Linked DNA regions of Oryctolagus cuniculus. The protein of the gene in region 1 purifies or fractionates together with the protein of each later gene. This does not show direct contact. Links are inferred from orthologs where the notes say so. Each region holds a gene or a part of one and is shown on either strand. Other genes may lie near its edges.

Region 1 (4,352 bases):
GAAGATAGGCACGAATCAACACCAGTAAGTCTCCCCACAATACAGCAATGAGAAGGCTTGGATTCGGTTTGCCTGATTGGTAGGGCTTGTAAGCACCTGCAGGCAGTTCTAGCAGAGCAGAGCATGCGCTGCAGGGCACCGAACACAGGCACGCATCAGCGCCTAAAAACCTCCTCACAACATGGCGAAGAGAGGACCCGGATTCGGTCTGCCTGATTGGTAGGGCTTGTAAGCACCTGTGGGCAACTCTAGCAAGCAGAGCAGAGTGTGTGCCGCGGGACACCGAAGACAGGCACGTATCAACGCCAAAAATAAAAAGAAAGGGGGATCTGTGGGGAGCAACTCGGACTAGACTAAGTTACTGGAATTAGGACTTATTCTATGCATCTGCTCTCCCACAATATGGTGCTGGAAGAGAAGAAAACAGCTTCTACACAGCTGCCTCCAGTTCAACCAATAAACAGCAGGACCTGCTCCTGATTGGAGGAGAGCAGCGTACTCGGCGTGTGGGCAGCCGAGTTGGGATTGGTGGAAGAGGACTATAAAGGAGGAGAGAGACGACATGCACCAGGAACATCTATCTGAAGGAACACCTGTGCAGCCCCCGAGAGAGCCGGCCGGCGGTGTGCCGCTCCCCCGCGGAAGTGGGGAAAGCGGCCAGGGGGAACCGCCCTTCCATGGAGGTGGAAGGGATGGTAGCCAACCCGGGAAGAACCAGCAGCAAACCCGGGGAGGGCCGAGCAGACGAAAGAACAGCGCAGGGTCCTGTGTCGTTCCTCCACGAAGAGGGGGAGCGACAAGGAGGACGGGACCACAGTCTGAAGGAGGAGGAGGACGGGCCCATAGTCTGACGGAGGAGGAGGACGGGCCCACAGTCTGAGGGAGGAGGAGGACGGGCCCACAGTCTGAGGGAGGAGGAGGACGGGCCCACAGTCTGAGGGAGGAGAAGGATGGGCCCACAGTCTGAAGGAGGACGGGCACACAGTCTGAGGGAGGAGGAGGACGGGACCACAGTCTGAGGGAGGAGGGGGACGGGCCCACAGTCTGAGGGAGGAGGAGGAGGACGGGCCCACAGTCTGACGGAGAAGGAGGATGGGACCACAGTCTCAGGGAGGAGGGGGACGGGCCCACAGTCTGAGGGAGGAGGAGGACGGGCCCACAGTCTGAGGGAGGAGGAGGACGGGCCCACAGTCTGAGGGAGGAGGAGGATGGGCCCACAGTCTGAGGGAGGAGGAGGATGGGCCCACAGTCTGAGGGAGGACGGGCACACAGTCTGAGGGAGGAGGAGGACGGGCACACAGTCTGAGGGAGGAGGAGGACGGGACCACAGTCTGAGGGAGGACGGGCCCACAGTCTGAGGGAAGAGGAGTTTGGGCCCACAGTCTGAGGGAGGAGGAGGACGGGCCCACAGTCTGAGGGAGACCGCGTCCACTCTGCGGGCCACACGTGCGCAGCTTCTCCTGCATTCAGTTTTTCTCTTGTATGAGACGCCGAGCGGGCGAGAGGACGGCGGCCAGCGCGGCTCCCCCACCCCCACCGCGCTGGTCTGGGCCGCCCAGGCAGGCGCCTCCGAGGACTCCAGCCACACCTGCTGCCTGCGGGCGGGCGGGCGCCGGCAGGACACCTGCGGCAGAGGCTGGGCCGGGACTCGAACCGGGGGCGCTGAGAGGGCCACGGCGTTGCGGAGGCCCTCCCCGCCCCCAGGACGCATCACCCCCCTGTCCTGGTCTGTCACCCGGCCCCTCTCTAGGGCTACTCCGCAAAGCGGACCCCGATCGCCGCGCCGGCCCCCCCCCCCGCCCCCGCCCCGCCCCCGGCCCCGCCCCGCGCTCGGCTCTCACCTCCACCTTCTCCTGCTCCTCCAGCGCCAGGAACACGGCCGCGCGCAGCTCGGCCTTGGGAAGAGGAGCCCGAGTCAGCGCCCGCGTCCGCGACCCCCGCCCCGGGCCCAGCCCGCGTCCGCGACCCCGCCCCGGGCCCAGCCCGCGTCCGCGACCCCCGCCCCGAGGTCCAGCCCCGCATCCGCGACCCCCGCCCCCGAGTTCCAGCCCGCGTCCGCGACCCCCGCCCCCGAGGTCCAGCCCGCGTCCGCGACCCCCGCCCCCGAGGTCCAGCCCCGCGTCCGCGACCCCCGCCCCCGAGGTCCAGCCCCGCGTCCGCGACCCCCGCCCCCGAGGTCCAGCCTGCGTCCGCGACCCCCGCCCCGGGCCCAGCCCCGCTCTCGCCGCCCCCGCCCCCGAGGTCCAGCCCCGCGTCCGCGACCCCCGCCCCGAGGTCCAGCCCCGCGTCCGCGACCCCCGCCCCGGGCCCAGCCCGCGTCCGCGACCCCCGCCCCCGAGGTCCAGCCCGCGTCCGCGACCCCCGCCCCGAGGTCCAGCCCCGCGCTCGCCGCCCCCGCCCCCGCCCCCGAGGTCCAGCCCCGCGTCCGCGACCCCCGCCCCGAGGTCCAGCCCGCGTCCGCGACCCCCGCCCCCGAGGTCCAGCCCGCGTCCGCGACCCCGCCCCCGAGGTCCAGCCCGCGTCCGCGACCCCGCCCCCGAGGTCCAGCCTGCGTCCGCGACCCCCGCCCCGGGCCCAGCCCCGCGTCCGCGACCCCCGCCCCCGAGGTCCAGCCCCGCGTCCGCGACCCCCGCCCCGAGGTCCAGCCCCGCGCTCGCCGCCCCCGCCCCCGCCCCCGAGGTCCAGCCCCGCGTCCGCGACCCCCGCCCCCGCCCCCGGCCCGGCCCCCGCACGCCGAGCGCGTCCCGCTGTGACGCCCGCGGCCCCCAGGCCCCGCGCCCGCCTCGCCCCGCGGCCCCCAGGCCCCGCGCCCGCCTCGCCCCGCGCCGGGCCAGGCCCCGGCCTCCCGGCCCCACCTTGATGCGGTTCAGGACCCCGCTGTTCTCCAGCGTCTGCACCAGCAGATCCCGCAGCTCCGTGTCCTCCTCGGCCGCCACCGCGGCCGCCGTCGCCGCCATCTTGCTTCTCCAAGACAACCGCCGAAGCCGCGCCGACGGCCAACGGCAGCCGCGGAGGCACACGGCGCACGCGCGGCGCCGCCGACGCCCCGCCCTTTGCGTCGGGGGCGGGGCCGCGGCCGGCGCTGGGGGCGGGGCCTGGAGCGGGGCGGGGCCTCAGGCGCCCGCGGGCCGTGAGGGCGCGCGCACTGGGGCGGGGCTAGGCTGGCCGCCTGCGGTGCTGTCCCAAGTTACGCTTGTGGCGAGGTGCACTGAAATCGGGACCTCCCCAGTCGAGAACGCCCGGCGGCCGGCGGGTGTGAGGGGTGGGCGAAGATTCTAGAAGCCGGGAGGACCCCTCCCCACCCCTGGGATCCCCGCTGATGCTCCCCGCCGCTCCGGGGTCTTGGCTGGCTACTCGACAAGGCCCCAGGCTGCGCCCCTCGCCCCTGCCCGAGGCGGCGCCCACCTGCTGCGCGCTGGCCGCCTCGCCTGCGCCAGGCACCTGCGCTCGCTGGGGGCGGCCGGGGGGCGCGGGGCTCCACGTCGGGAGCTGTGGGACTTCCGGTCGCCTGCGTTGTTAGCTGTGGGCTGTCCACGGTCTGTGCCGCTCCCCGCTGAGACAGGACGCAGCGCACCCAGGCCTCCGCTCACCTCTCCCTTTCCGCTCCCTGCTGGCTGTTGGGCCGGGGGCGCAAGGAGGGAGCTCGGTGTGTCCTGCGGTCACGGTCACGCGCGGCTCCAACAGAGCCTGGCTGAGAGGGCGCCCTGTCGGCCCTCCCCGGTCTCCCTCCCTCTTCCCTCCCTGCCTGCTGTCCGCCCCGCTCTCAGATCCTTTCCTTGGGCTTTGCTCTGGGGCATCCGGGACTGGGACTGCCCGGCACCAGGCCGGCGGGGGCCCGCGGCCCTGGGGGCGCCGGGAGTCCCTGGCACGGCCTCCAAGCTGTGCTGAGTGGTGGTGGGCCGTGCGGCATCCCAGCTGTGCTGAGTGGCGGTGGGCGGTGCGGCCTCCCAGCTGTGCTGAGTGGCGGTGGGCGGTGGGTGGAGAAGGAGGCGCTGACTTTGGCCGCAGCTCTGGCTCCTGCAGACACGCAGACAACGGTGATATTCAAGACTGGAGTCTCTGTTCTGTAAACCGGTACCAGAGGAAAACATGCAGGGGCTCAAGTCGGCCGAGTCCACCCTAGGCCACCTTCCTGAGCCAGAAACGCCCAGGACGTCACCCTGGTGGCCTGGAGTCAGCGCTGACGCCGTGGGAATCGGCAGATCCGTCAAAGCGAAGCCGGAACTCAGAGCCAAGGCGTCCCCTGGAGCCCCACCGCGTCCAGCGGACCTGAATCTGAATCTTAACACTTGAAGCCCCCAGACCAGGGCTGGGCAGCGTCCGGCCTGCGGGCCAGAGGAGACCACGGGACC
Region 2 (3,805 bases), on another chromosome or scaffold:
AGTAGATCTCTTTCAGTCTCTCCCTCTTTCTCCATTACTCTGTCTTTCAAAATAAATGTTTTTAAAAAAAAAAAAGGGGGGGGGGGAATAGAGTAAATTTAAGATTTGCTAGTTTCCAAACAGAAGTAACAAAGAAATCTAAGGCAATATAAATATTATATGAAAAGAATGTGTGCATATAGGCCGGCGCCGTGGCTCACTTGGTTAATCCTCTGCCTGCGGAGCCGGCATCCCATATGGGCGCCAGGTTCTAGTCCCAGCTGCTCCTCTTCCAGTCCAGCTCTCTGCTGTGGCCCAGGAAGGCAGTGGAGGATGGCCCAAGTTCTTGGGCGCCTGCACTCGCATGGGAGACCAGGGAGAGGCACCTGGCTCCTGGCTTGGGATCGGTGCAGCACCGGCTGTAGCGGCCATTTGGGGAGTGAACAAACGGAAGGAAGACCTTTCTCTCTGTCTCTCTCTCTCTCTCTCTCTCACTGTCTATGACTCTACCTGTCAAAAAAAAAAAAAAAAAAAAAAAAGAATGTGTGAATATAGATTATATACTAAAAACCTATCAGGAAAGAATGATGGTTAAGGACTCTCTCAAAAAAAGGTCAATGGCCAGCATTGTGGCATAGTGGGTAAAGCTGCTGCTTACAGTGCCAGCACCCCATATAAGTACTGGTTCTAGTCCGAGCTGCTCCACTTCCCATACAGCTAATGCACCTGGGAAAACAGCGGAAAACAGCCCAAGTCCTTGGGGCCCTGTACCCACATGGGAGACCTGGAATAAGCTCCTGGTTCCTGGTTTCATATCAGCCCAGCTCCAGCCATTTGGGGAGTGAACCTGCACATGGAAAACCTCTGTCTCTGTCTGTTAACTCTGCCTTTCAAATAAAATAAAATAAAGTTCAAAGAAGAGAACAAATGTTCATGAAAACTAATAATTCTCAGGGTAAATAACCTACTCATGGGGCCAGTGCTGTAGTTTAGCAGATAAAGCTGCCACCTGCAGCACCAACATCCCATAAGGGTTCGAGTCCCAGTTCGAGTCCCAGCTGCTCCACTTTCGATCCAGCTCTCTGCTATGGCCAAGAAAGCAGCAGGAGACGGCGCAAGTCCTTGGGCCCCTGCACCCGTGCAGGAGACCCAGAAGAAGCTCCTGGATTGGAGCAGCTCCTGCCACTGCAGCCAACTGGGGAGTGAACCAGCAGATGGAGGACCTATCTCTCTCTCTGCCTCTGCTTCTCTCTGTGTGTAACTCTTTCAAATAAATAAATAAATACATCTTTAAACAAACAAACAAAAAAAAGAAATAAAAAAAAGAAATAACTTACTCACATAGGGGCAGGCATTTGGCTTAACATGTTAAGTTGTCACTTGGGACACTTACATCCCATATCAGAGTGCGCAATTCAAGTTCCAGCTATTCCACTTTCGGATAGAGTTCTGAGCTATTGGGTTGGCCTGTCTGTGGGCATTTGAGGAGTGAACCAGGGCATGGAAGATCTCTGTCTCTCTCTTTCAATTAAAATTATTTTAATCTACTTGTTTAATCCCAAAGGGATCAAAACAAAAATACCAGTATAATAAAGATTACATCAGAGGAAAAATGTAAGTCACATCTTGAAGCACCATTACATTGCAATAACTGAACTCTTTCAAAACCCCATGTTATGAACTACACATCTGTGTGTTCTCCCAAAATTCCTGTGTTGAAACTCCAACCCTCAATGGGGTACTTGTAGGAGGTGGGGCCTCTGCAAGGTGATTAGGTTGAGAAGAGGTCTTAAGAGTCCCTACGATGGCCTGGCTCAGCCCCAGCCGTTGCAGTCAACTGGGGAGTGAACCCGTGGATCCAAGACCTCTCTCTCTCTTTGTCCCTCTCTAACTCTGCCTTTCAAATAAATAAATCTTAGAGAAAAAAAAAGGAATTTACCTGAACAAAATAACCAGAGATGTGAACAACAGTGTGTATCCAAGTATTGTTTGTAACAGTTGAAAAGCTGCAAATAACTTAGATATCTAACAGGAATAAAGAAGCTAAGGGTATTATAGTAATGTAGTGGAACTTCTATCAATGAAAATGATGTAATAGATATAAATCTACTGATTTCTAAAAATCTTTGCACTATATTAGCAATCCTACTTGTATATAAAAGAAAAAAAAAGGCGTTTCTCATTTACATGAAGTTTGAAGTTTTAAAACAGACTTTACCCAAAGATTATGAGTGCAGGGCTCACATATGCAGCTAGTGTGGACTACAAAATGGCAAAACACTTCTGGAAAGCAATTTGGCAGCATGTATCATCAAGTCTATAAAAATATATTGTACTAAATTATTCCACTTTTAATAATTTAATCTTATGGAAGTAATTCCAACATACACACAAGTGTAAACATGAGATATTTATCCCAAAGCTATTTAAAAGAGTAAAAGATAAACTGTCTAAATATTGAATAGCTTGGAATTAAACTATCGTGCTTCAATGTAATAGAGTACTATATGATAGATCATTACGCAAAAAAAGCAGGGTAGCAAAATACATTAGATTACATTATTGTAATCTCTAAGTATACAAATGCAGTGTTCACTTTGGTAATATATACAAATATTCTATAAAGAAAAAAGACAAAATACATGCACACACACCAAAAAGAACAGTGGTTTTCTCGTTACTCTACATTTTCTATAAAGAATACATGTAACATTGATAAAAGTTTAAAATCACAATAAAAGCTAATAGAAGAAAGGATTTTAGAAAAACCTTATGACATTATTGAGCCAAGAGCTAAGCATACTTAACATTAAAAATGCACTATTTTCAACTTTAGAAGTTCATTAAACTTACCCCTAAGCCATAAATCCTCACTAAGGGAGTCCGCAAAGGCACGTGCGCCCAGGTCCCCAATGAGTGTGTTGCAATTCAGTGTGATGCGCCGCAAGCCAGCCATGCAGTCGAGATCGGGTCTCCTGTAGCGAAGGCTCTCAGCCCAGGTTTCTTCATGCCGTCGCATTGACTGATACTTCAAAAATTTAATAGGATGAAGTTAGCACACTGGAATAAGAGGGAAACTAATTATGGCTGATTACATCAGAGCTTTACATCTACACACACACAGCCAACCATACATGCCAAGAGTCAACCTAGGGGATTAAATATTAGATTTTGCTTAAGTGGTCCAGTGACCCAGATCCTAGTCTGCCACTGACTAGTTATGTGACTGACTAGCTGCTGAGTGACTTACTGCTCATTACTTACATAAACTGACAACTTATTAATTTAGAAGAATTTTATTTTTCATATCAGCCAAGTCAAATAATTGGTTTTAAATTCTATCATTATCAAGCTTCTGAATTCTGTAATTCTATCCTCCAGTGGTTATCCAAACACTTGACCGGACATCCCACAAGTAAACATGCTTTAGCATGTATCTTACTTATGAATAAATTATATACAAGAAGTTCTGCACATATATTTTGTGCACATTATAAACTATATAGAAACAACAGATATTTTTCAAATGATACAAAAATCAATATAGCATTCTAATATTTTTCTTTTCCTAATTCAATTATCTTTCATACTTCTTAGGATATGCATCCCAACTTTAGAGACCTGAAATCCCAAAGTCAGTTTGATATGCCTTAGGAAGTTGATGGTTTGATTTTTAATTACAGGTACTGTCTTAAAAACATTTTATAATCGGGTCTCTATATTCGAAAAGTAAAAAAAAAAAAAAAAAGTTCAAAAAAAAGTTCAAAACAGGAATTAGACTTCAAAAGAAAAATATTTTGTTGTCCCTCTACATCTGCAAGTTCTG

Evidence for each region.
Region 2: the proteins of CEP43 (region 1) and CEP78 purify together in Homo sapiens (affinity purification with mass spectrometry; 3 studies listed by BioGRID and IntAct, with this or other methods). This does not show direct contact. The link is inferred for Oryctolagus cuniculus from reciprocal best matches to the Homo sapiens genes CEP43 and CEP78.

Annotation. Positions count from the first base shown.
Region 1 is NC_091436.1:2,075,733-2,080,084, forward strand, and holds the start of CEP43 (centrosomal protein 43), read right to left. Parts: upstream 3,033-4,352; 5' UTR 2,958-3,032; coding exon 2,856-2,957; intron 1,896-2,855; coding exon 1,842-1,895; intron 1-1,841. UniProt on the Homo sapiens protein: Required for anchoring microtubules to the centrosomes. Required for ciliation.
Region 2 is NC_091432.1:152,029,862-152,033,666, forward strand, and holds part of CEP78 (centrosomal protein of 78 kDa), read right to left. Parts: intron 3,008-3,805; coding exon 2,833-3,007; intron 1-2,832. UniProt on the Homo sapiens protein: Centriole wall protein that localizes to mature centrioles and regulates centriole and cilia biogenesis. Involved in centrosome duplication: required for efficient PLK4 centrosomal localization and PLK4-induced overduplication of centrioles.